Coturnix japonica: one gene and its partner. The protein of the gene in region 2 purifies or fractionates together with the protein of the main gene of each other region. This does not show direct contact. Links are inferred from orthologs where the notes say so. Each region holds a gene or a part of one and is shown on either strand. Other genes may lie near its edges.

Region 1 (4,316 bases), on a different chromosome or scaffold from region 2:
TTCTTTTTTGCTTTAGCTTGAACTCTGTACGGTCCGTTTGTTCAATAGATGTGAACAGTTGATGTACAGTACTTAACGAAACGAGCAGCAGCACAAAACTTATTTTATTAAGAAAATAATGGCGTATATTTGAAAGGTCGGGTATCGACTTTTGGTTCTTTTGGTGGTTTTTTTTTTGCTATGCGTGGAATTAAGAGCGGTCAAAGAGTAACAGAACCCTTGGATTAGGCCAAAAGGTAACACTGTAAGATCGTAACCACCTCTTTATTAAAGAAAACGGTATGATTAAAGAGCTGCGGAACATTGTATCTCTATCTCATTTGGTCGCTTTTGTGGATGGGTTTATTTTTATTTTCATCTTTATTTTTTTTTTGCCTTAATCCTGAGGGGTTTTTTTTGCTTGCAACTTTGTCGTCCCAAGTGTCCTTTACCTTGTAAGTTTAGGCTTGTGTCTTGGGTACAGAAGTGGAGGTTGTTTGCCATCCTCTGGATCCGTTTGTGCATGTATCGACATTCCTTTAGGCACTGAATTATTGAGCAGCTGAGCTGTAACTCTGGGTTTTTGAATAATGCGAAGCAATTGCAGGGAAGCATTTGCCAATGGCATGCAAATATTCATTAGCTAATTGATGTGGGCTGTTAGAATGCACTGCATGGAACTGAGCATCTTTACCAACTCTGTTCATCCCTTCCTGCTTTTAACATTAGAACACGCTCAGAAGGGTTCCATCCATGGCAGCAATCAGCTGTTTCAGGGGACTCGTTTCCAAGATGTAACAGAAAATGGTGCTTCATGTGCCGGCTCTGAGGCCCTGGAAGCAGATCTCTGTCACTCCATGGTGTCAGGTTGTTGGGTTGGTACCTGAGCTCTGGCGCTGGGCTCCAATAACAGCAGCAGGAGGTGCCCACATGGAGACATATCCCTCAGCCCTACGGCTGATGGTGATGTGATGGTGGTGATCACGTTTCCACTTTCAGGATCTGAATGAAGGAAACATTCCAGTAGATTTTTAGATATCTACATTTTTACAGCATCAGCTCCCATAGCTGACTTTCAGGATGTGAATAAAGGAGACATTCCAGTAGTTTCCTTTAGATCTAATTTATGTTGTTAGAGCGCTTATATCATCACCCCCCATAGCTGGTACTGATTGCTCCCAGCTCTATGCAGTGTGGGGCAGCCCTATGGGGGATGATGAGCTGAGGGGAGCAGGGCCTTGAGCTGCGGCCTTGCATGGAATGAAGGCCAAAGCTCCGTTCATTGCTGTCCTTTTGGCAATGACTTAAAAGGAATTCAACTTCAAAGGCTGGAGATCCCAAATGTCGCCGTAACCCCTCAGTGCACACAATCGGACCCGCTCCTGGCCGCAGCATCTCATCTTATCGCTCCGCCCGGGCCATGACGGACCCGCTTCCTCCGCCATCTTGACAGCCGCCATCTTGACTACCGCCCCGCCTCACGCACTTCCGGTTCCGCCTTATTTCCGGCCTTTATCCCGGAAGTGCGGTGCGGGGGCGGAACTTCCGGCTGCCGTAGGTTCGGCGGGCGGCAGCGTGAGTCGGGGCTGCGGGGCGGCCACGCAACTTCCGCCGCCTCCTCAGGAGACGGGAGCGGCCCAGAGGAGCTGCGGCCTAACGGGACCGGGAGCCGCTCTGCTCCCTCACAGCTCAGCCCCACCGGGCCCAGCTCAGCCCAGCGGAGGAGCCCGCAGCCCCGAGTGGCTGCACCCAGCTCCATGAATGGAAATCAGCAGCGCAGGTGAGCGGCCTAACGGGGAACCGGGCGGCACCGGGTGGGGAGGGGAGAAGCGGGATGTGGCCGGGCTCAGCGGGGAGCGGCTGGGCCCAGCGGAACCGGGAACAGCGTTTCGTAACCCCGCGGGCATTGTATAACCCGGCAGCATCGGGGTATCGCCTGAAGAGCCGGAGGGTGCCATGCAGAGCGCATCGCTGTCGGTGTATCCCGGTTGTGTCCGTGCTGCTGGGCCTGGGTGTAATCACACCCATATCGGCTGGTTGTGCCCCTACATGAGGCCTAATGAGGGAGATGGGGTTGTTCAGCCTGGAGAAGAGGCTCAGGGGAGACCTTATATCTCTCTATAACTTCCTTAGTTAGAAGTTAGAATGGAGGTTGTAGTGAGCCTCTAATCTCGTGTAATCCATGATAGAAGTAGAGGGAATGGTTTTAAGGTGCGTCAGGGGAGATTCAGGCTGGATATTAGGAAGTATTGCTTCTCAGAAAGGGTAGTCAGGCATTATAATGCACTGCCCAAAGAGGTGGTGGAGTCACCGACCATGGGAGCGTTCAAGAAATGTCTATTCATATTGATGAATATGATTTAGATGGGAAGTATTGGGAATGGTTGGACTAGATGATCTTGTAGGTCTTTCCCAACCTTGTTAATTCTGTGATGCCCTTCGTTCAGGCCTTTGCTGTTTTGGTTGGTACTGTGGGAAGCAAAGGCTCGTTATTTGTGCACCGTGTGTTTAAAGTGAGACTTAAAGCTTAAGGTGTGTTGGAATGTGATGCAGGAGCTGGAGGTGCTAAGCAGGCCCACCCTGGCTCTTCACACATGGACGCCTTTAGTGTTTGTACAGAGGTTGAACTTGGTGATGGATTTGGCTGGGAAATCTCGCCACCCGCGTCCTCGCTTAATGAGCTTAAGTGATGGATTTGAAACCATGTTAGGAAAGGGCTGGATTTTAACGATCCTTTGGAATTTGGATGGCATGTGAACAGTCTGTGTGTGTTGAGTAAGCTATAGTGATAACCCGGCGTGATTCAGATTCAGATCTGATTCAGGTTCAGATTTACAAGTGTAGCACAGGAACGAGTTGCTTTTCTCTCTGGAATCAGTTTTTGTCCCTTCCACATCCAGAGCTTTTAGTGTTAAGGTGTCGTGGTGCTTTTAAAGCATGACAGGCATCATTTAATCCTGTGGTCTGTTTTCCATAGGAGCTTGTAGCAGACAGAATGCCTCGCTGTGTTGAGGTTGGTGGCTTGGGAGGACCATTAGAAGTTCTAGTTTTGTGGGTGGGGTTGAGAAGAAAGGGGGGAATGAATCATAAGTGCCTTCAGCAGCTACTCTGGTCAGGAATGCATGTGATGTGAGTTACAATGGAACTTCGCCTCTGTGGAATTGCAGTGGAAGCTGCTGGAATCGAAGTACCAACTTCACAAATGGTTTCTTCCCCGTCGCTTTGCTTCCATAGGGGTTTAATTGTCGGGTGGGATGTAGCTTAAGCTAATTTCTAAAAGAGTTTTAAATGAAATAACGGGAACATGAGGCTTTTGGACACATCTGGTCTGCATTTAAATGACACCAGTGGAGCAGCAGCCCCCCACTGCATCCAGAGCCAGCAATTCCTGCAGCGAAGGACTGAGAGGCAGCATCTGGGATGGGCTGAGAGCTCAACAATGGTCCCAAGGCTGGGAGCTGCAGTGAGGACAGGCAGCACAGTGTCCTGCCAGGGGGGCAGAGATCTTGCTAACTAAATCATTTTTCTCTTATGTTAGAATAGGTTTTGTGACTGGGGTGCCAAGGGAAGCATTTACCTTCAGCTGAGGGCAAGGTTAGAGATGGATACGGATTGATTTGGTTCTTAATGTTCATCAGGCGTTGTTCCTCACTTCTTTGTGCTGTGCTGCCATTAATTCTCTGCTCCTTTTAACCTTCATCACCTGCAAAACTTGCTGAGGGCGTAAATCACACTTTATTCTGCCTAAAGAATAAGCTTCACTGTAAGAAATTACTTCTATTTCCTGGTAGTGTGGCTCTAAGCTTAGTCCTGCATCGTGTGCCTGGGGTCTTGTTCTGCTCTCAGGCTGTACATGGGGCAATGGGAACTGAAAGCAGAGCAGCGGTGGATGGATGGAGCGATGAGTTCTAACATGACTTATTGTCTGGAACTGTTTTTTTCTTTAAAGCAGAGCCTAAATTGCGAGTAGGAATGTTGAGAAAACGTGGATTGCGTTACTCATCAATAATGTAATGCCACCCAGAGAGGTTGCTGCTGCAGAAATAAGGGAATTCATGATTTCTGGCATAGGGAAGGAATTATTATTATTATTATGGAAACCAGTGCTTACATAGGATCTCCTCACCCTGTTGTTTCAATCCAGAGTGTCTGGATTGACTCGTGTCTTGCTGCTGGTTGGATTCTCTCTGAGCTCCACAGCCTGAGCAGAAAGGGGCCCTGTGAAAGGGGATCTTCCTCTCCGTCCTCTGGATGCAGCCAGGGCTGCCAGGTCTGTGTTCTGAGCCCATACCTGTCATGTCTTCCATCACAGCCCCCGATCTGCTCAGCCACCCTTT
Region 2 (4,471 bases):
AAATGAGACCAAAAAAAATGTTGCCCCAGCAATAAGACTTGCTACTTGCTTTCATCTTTTAGTACATCTTTTAGTCTTTTTAACCCACCCAGGAAAAAAAAGAACATCACCAACCACCACCAAAATATCTCTTGTTAGTCAATGATTTAATTTGTTCGTAGTGTAAGTGAAACTCCTTGAAGAGGGCACCAAGGTAAAAAGGATGAGTTGTTAAACCCATGGAAAGGGACAGGACAATCTAAACAGCTGATGTGGGCTCTGATGAACGTGGACCAACTCAGCAAAAGGTGAGCGCAGTGTGCTGAAGAACAGGTAAGACCTTGTGAATTGAGGTAGATGCAGCTTTTCAAGGTTGCTTCCAGACAAAGCTGTTCAAGACTGAAGCTTCAATTCTGTGCTCCAACACTGCTCTAATTGATAACTGGACATTAATAGTTCCACCAAACTGTCACACACATGCAGATGGAACCAGACAGAAATAGGATGTGATTACTACACTTCAATTCCCTGATGATCCATCCCAGCTGACATTAGGCTTGAGGGACTTTTAAACTCAACATATGAATCTACAAGTTATCCTTATTTGCCCTGGGCATCTCTCTGGTTCAGGCTTCACCTATGGGTCTAAGTCATGCAATAATCAAGACTGGAGCTTTGATTATTAGCTTCATCTCTGGGAGGAGGGTTCCGTCTTCTCACCAGTCACAAAGAGAACGATGTCAGCAGATGATGCTAAGAAAGGTAGGAGTTAGGGAGTTAGCAGTCATGTGGCACTGCTGCCCAGTTTAGGTAAACTCAAGGCTTTTTAGTATTTATCAGTTTTCCCAAGGACTTTTAAACACTGATGTCAATTGCATCATGGAAATAAAAGCCGGAAAACAGCAGCATGTGACATACAAGAGAAACTGTGTTCTATTGTTTATGCACAACCCATTTGCTTCTCTTCGACGCTTCACCTGAAGGGTTTTGACAGTGAAGTTACATCAGCTAAAAAGCTACATTCATGAGATTTTTTGGGGCACTTAAAGCGTTGTATCTCGGAATGTTACTGAAGAAAGGGCAGACAGCTGGTCTTTCAGAGGGAAAAACAGCGCCCTGCAGGCGGCCTCGCCATCTCCACAGCCCGCAGAGCTCACCCATCACAGCCCTGCCAAGATGGCGGCCGCCGCCCTCCCTTCAGCGCGTGCGCGAGGAAGGAGCGGAGGAAAAGAGGAGGCCGCGATCCTCGCCATGCTCCGGAGGGGAAGGCGCACACACGTGAGCTCTTGGACCACCCGGCAGCTCCCGAGCAGCCGTTGTGTCGCCTCGCCGCATTGGTTGCTTTGTGAACCTTTCACCTTTTATCTGGGTCTCGCCGCCAATTGCTCGATTCCTTTCATGTCGCGGGGACGCAGAGCGTAAGCTGCGCAGGGTGGAATTCTCGAAGCGGGTTTGCGTCGCAGGCGCTGGGCGGCCTTCGTTGGTACGGGAGGGAGGTGCTCCGTTTGCGTAGGGCCGGCAGCGCAGGGGGAAAGCGGGGGGAGGAGAAGGAGGAGGAGGCCGTCGCGGGCCCAGGTGAATGGAGGAACCTGACAGCTGGGGGGAGCAAGGCGGCGGCAGCGGGGAAATGGCGGTGGCGGCTGCAGCACAATGAGACGTGGCCTGTAGCAGGGTGCAGCGCCGGGTCCGTCCGAGCAGGTAGGAGATGGCGGCCGGGCTCGCCTGCCCGTCGCCCCGGGAGCTGCGTGGCGGAGCCCGCTCCGCCGCGGTGGGTGGGTGGGATGGCGGCGGCCGCTCCCTCCCCGCCTCTCGCCGCCGGGTCCCGGTGAGCCGTGCCCCGCCTCTGGCCCAGCGACCGTCCTCGTCCCTACGGGGCCTCGCCCGTCTTGAGGCCGGGCTCGGATCCCCACCGTCGGCCTCGGCAGCTCCCGGCAGCGTGCGGGGTGTGAGGGCCGCGCTTTGGTCCTGCTCGGCTTTGTCTGCGTAGGGCCCGCGGGGAAGGCCCGGTGTGAGGCTGCGGAGCTCCGATCCCCCGTGTCCTGTCCCGATGGGTTCGGGGCGAGGATCGGAGCATGGGGAGAACTCTCTGCTGGGAGCCCGCTGCTAAAGGCGGGGAAGGAAGATCGCGGCTCTTCGTTGTGCTCCCGTCGTCTTACAGTTTAGGGGAGTGAAGAAAGTGTAGTAGCAGAGTGATAGAGGCACACCTGGTGCTTTGTGAAAGAACAAAAGGTTAAAAGGCACGTTAGTAAGCTGATATATTCGGTAAATTAATACTAAAAACATGGGCTGTGGTATTGACCTCTAGGAGGAAAAAAAAAAAAAAGCTTGTTTTGTTTTTGCTTATTGTCATTCCCCGGAAATGATTATTTCCAAAAATAGTTCCCTACTGACTTCAAATGGCGGGGATTTGGCACTTCAGATGATATGTTATGAGTGTTCTGGACATCGAGATGTTGAACCCCAAGTTATGCAGGGGGCTACAGTGGTGGAAGCTGTAGGTTTGAAGGTGATGACCATTCTTAAAGAAAAAAGACCCAACTGAAAAATCAAAAGAATTAACTGCAGGCACTCAGTTTACATTATGGTATATTGTGCTTTATACTTTCTGTATATGCCTTTTTCTTTTAATAAGCTACTTTTGTTGTTGTGTTGAAGTGCATACTGCATATGTAGCTTTAATAAGTTGTCTTGGTTATTTTTTTTTCCTCCCATAATTTGATATAGAGACAAACTGGAGTTTACTCCCTATATACCATAACTATTCTCCTAAATCTTTTTCTGAAGAGGGGGTTTTTCCATTGTCTGTGTCTACAACACTTGTAGTTATGAAGATTACAGTATAAGGTTTGGAGGTATTAGAAGCTGGAAGGTGCTAATAGGTGTATGATCAGAGCATTGTTACTATTTAATTTATTAATCTGGGGGATTAAAATAAATATGCTTGTACAGAAGTGCTGAACTTTAAATTAGGTATGAAATCATCTTAGTGATAATGTTTCTGTGAAAGTGGCAGCTCAGCACTCAGTCAAGAAGTAAAAAGAACCATCAGGACTTGCAAATAAGTGAAAATAAAAGGCCATCGGTATATAGTAGTATATAGCGGTGTATAGGTCCTTGCTGGGCCAACATATGTAATACTAAATGCAGTTTGGGTGTTTTTTGCTGTCTTTCTCTTCTACCTCAAAAAGTTGGTTTTAGACTAAGCACAAAGGTAGGGAGAAAGTTCATTAGGACTTCTTACACAGGGGAAGAGTTGCAAGAGGAAGGGTAAGAGATTGAAGTTAAAGTCATGAGCGAAGTTGATAGAAAGCAGTAGCTTTTTTTCATCTGTTCTTGAAAGGTTCCTGTAATTTATAAATAAATAAATAAGGCAATAGAACTATAGATCACATGCTGCTATATCATATGTAGCTACAGTTCCTGGTGCTGTAGCATCTTTGGAATGCTCAAGCATCCCATACACAGAAAACAACAAGGTGACTGTGAAAGGTGTCAGTAGGAGGTCTTGCTGTTATACTCCTTTGTAGTTGTCCTCCATTGGGTACTGGTAGACTACTGTATGGTGTACGCAAATCCCAGTTAAAAAACCTGTGAGATTCCTGTTCCTTGATGCAAAACTTCACTACTTCATCTGTATTCTCTTTCACCGTGAATGGACCAAGTATGTGTTGATCTGAATGCAAATTGCTGGCCAAAAAAATAAAAGTGAATACGCCTGTACTTTTTAGAAGAGCAAGGAGATTAGAGAAATGAATGTGGTGGTAAGCTTGGAGTTGACGTACTCTGTATAAGGTTGAACTCTCATTTACAGTATACAGAAGAATTTGCAAAGGATTAGAGATTCTTTAGGGATAGTGAGCATTAGAGTAAGTGCTAGGACTACTGACAACCTTTATTTCAGGGTTGTTCTAGTTGCATTAAAACATTCTTCTAATACCTGAAGGGAACTTACTCCCAGGAGGGGAGTAAACTCTTTGAAAGGCCTGACAATAGCAGGACATGGGGAAATGGTTTTAAGTTAAAAGAGGGAAGATTTAGGTTGGATGTTAGGGGGAAGTTCTTCACTAGGAGAGTGGTGAGGCCCTGGAACAGGCTGCCCAGGGAGGTTGTGGATGCCCCGTCCTTGGAGGTGTTCAAGGCCAGGTTGGACGGGGCCCTGGGCAACCTGATCTAGTAAAGGTGTATGTTTGGTGGCCCTGCCAGGCAGGGGGTTGGAACTACATGATCCTTGAGGTCCCTTCCAACCCGAGTTATTCTGTGATTCTGTGCTTCTTCAATTACAATGAGTTATGCCATGTTCCATAATTCTCAATGAGAAAATCCAGTTTTCTTTTTCTCTCATATAGTTATTACAAACTGTGGATACTGAGCTTGGCAGATATAGTTGGCAGAGCAGAGAGATGGTTACAGTGTTCCCTTGCCTCATGTTGTAATGTGTAGCTGGGTAAGCTCTGACTATCTGTGTCCTGTTACCTTCATGTGTTCAATACTC

What was found. The genes of interacting proteins can lie anywhere in the genome.
Region 1: the proteins of DICER1 (region 2) and AGO3 purify together in Homo sapiens (affinity purification with mass spectrometry; 3 studies listed by BioGRID and IntAct, with this or other methods). This does not show direct contact. The link is inferred for Coturnix japonica from reciprocal best matches to the Homo sapiens genes DICER1 and AGO3.

Annotation. Positions count from the first base shown.
Region 1 is NC_029538.1:3,712,499-3,716,814, reverse strand, and holds the start of AGO3 (protein argonaute-3), read left to right. Parts: upstream 1-1,502; 5' UTR 1,503-1,740; coding exon 1,741-1,759; intron 1,760-4,316.
Region 2 is NC_029520.1:41,612,767-41,617,237, reverse strand, and holds the start of DICER1 (endoribonuclease Dicer), read left to right. Parts: upstream 1-1,527; 5' UTR 1,528-1,677; intron 1,678-4,335; exon of another isoform or gene 4,336-4,423; intron 4,424-4,471. UniProt on the Homo sapiens protein: Double-stranded RNA (dsRNA) endoribonuclease playing a central role in short dsRNA-mediated post-transcriptional gene silencing.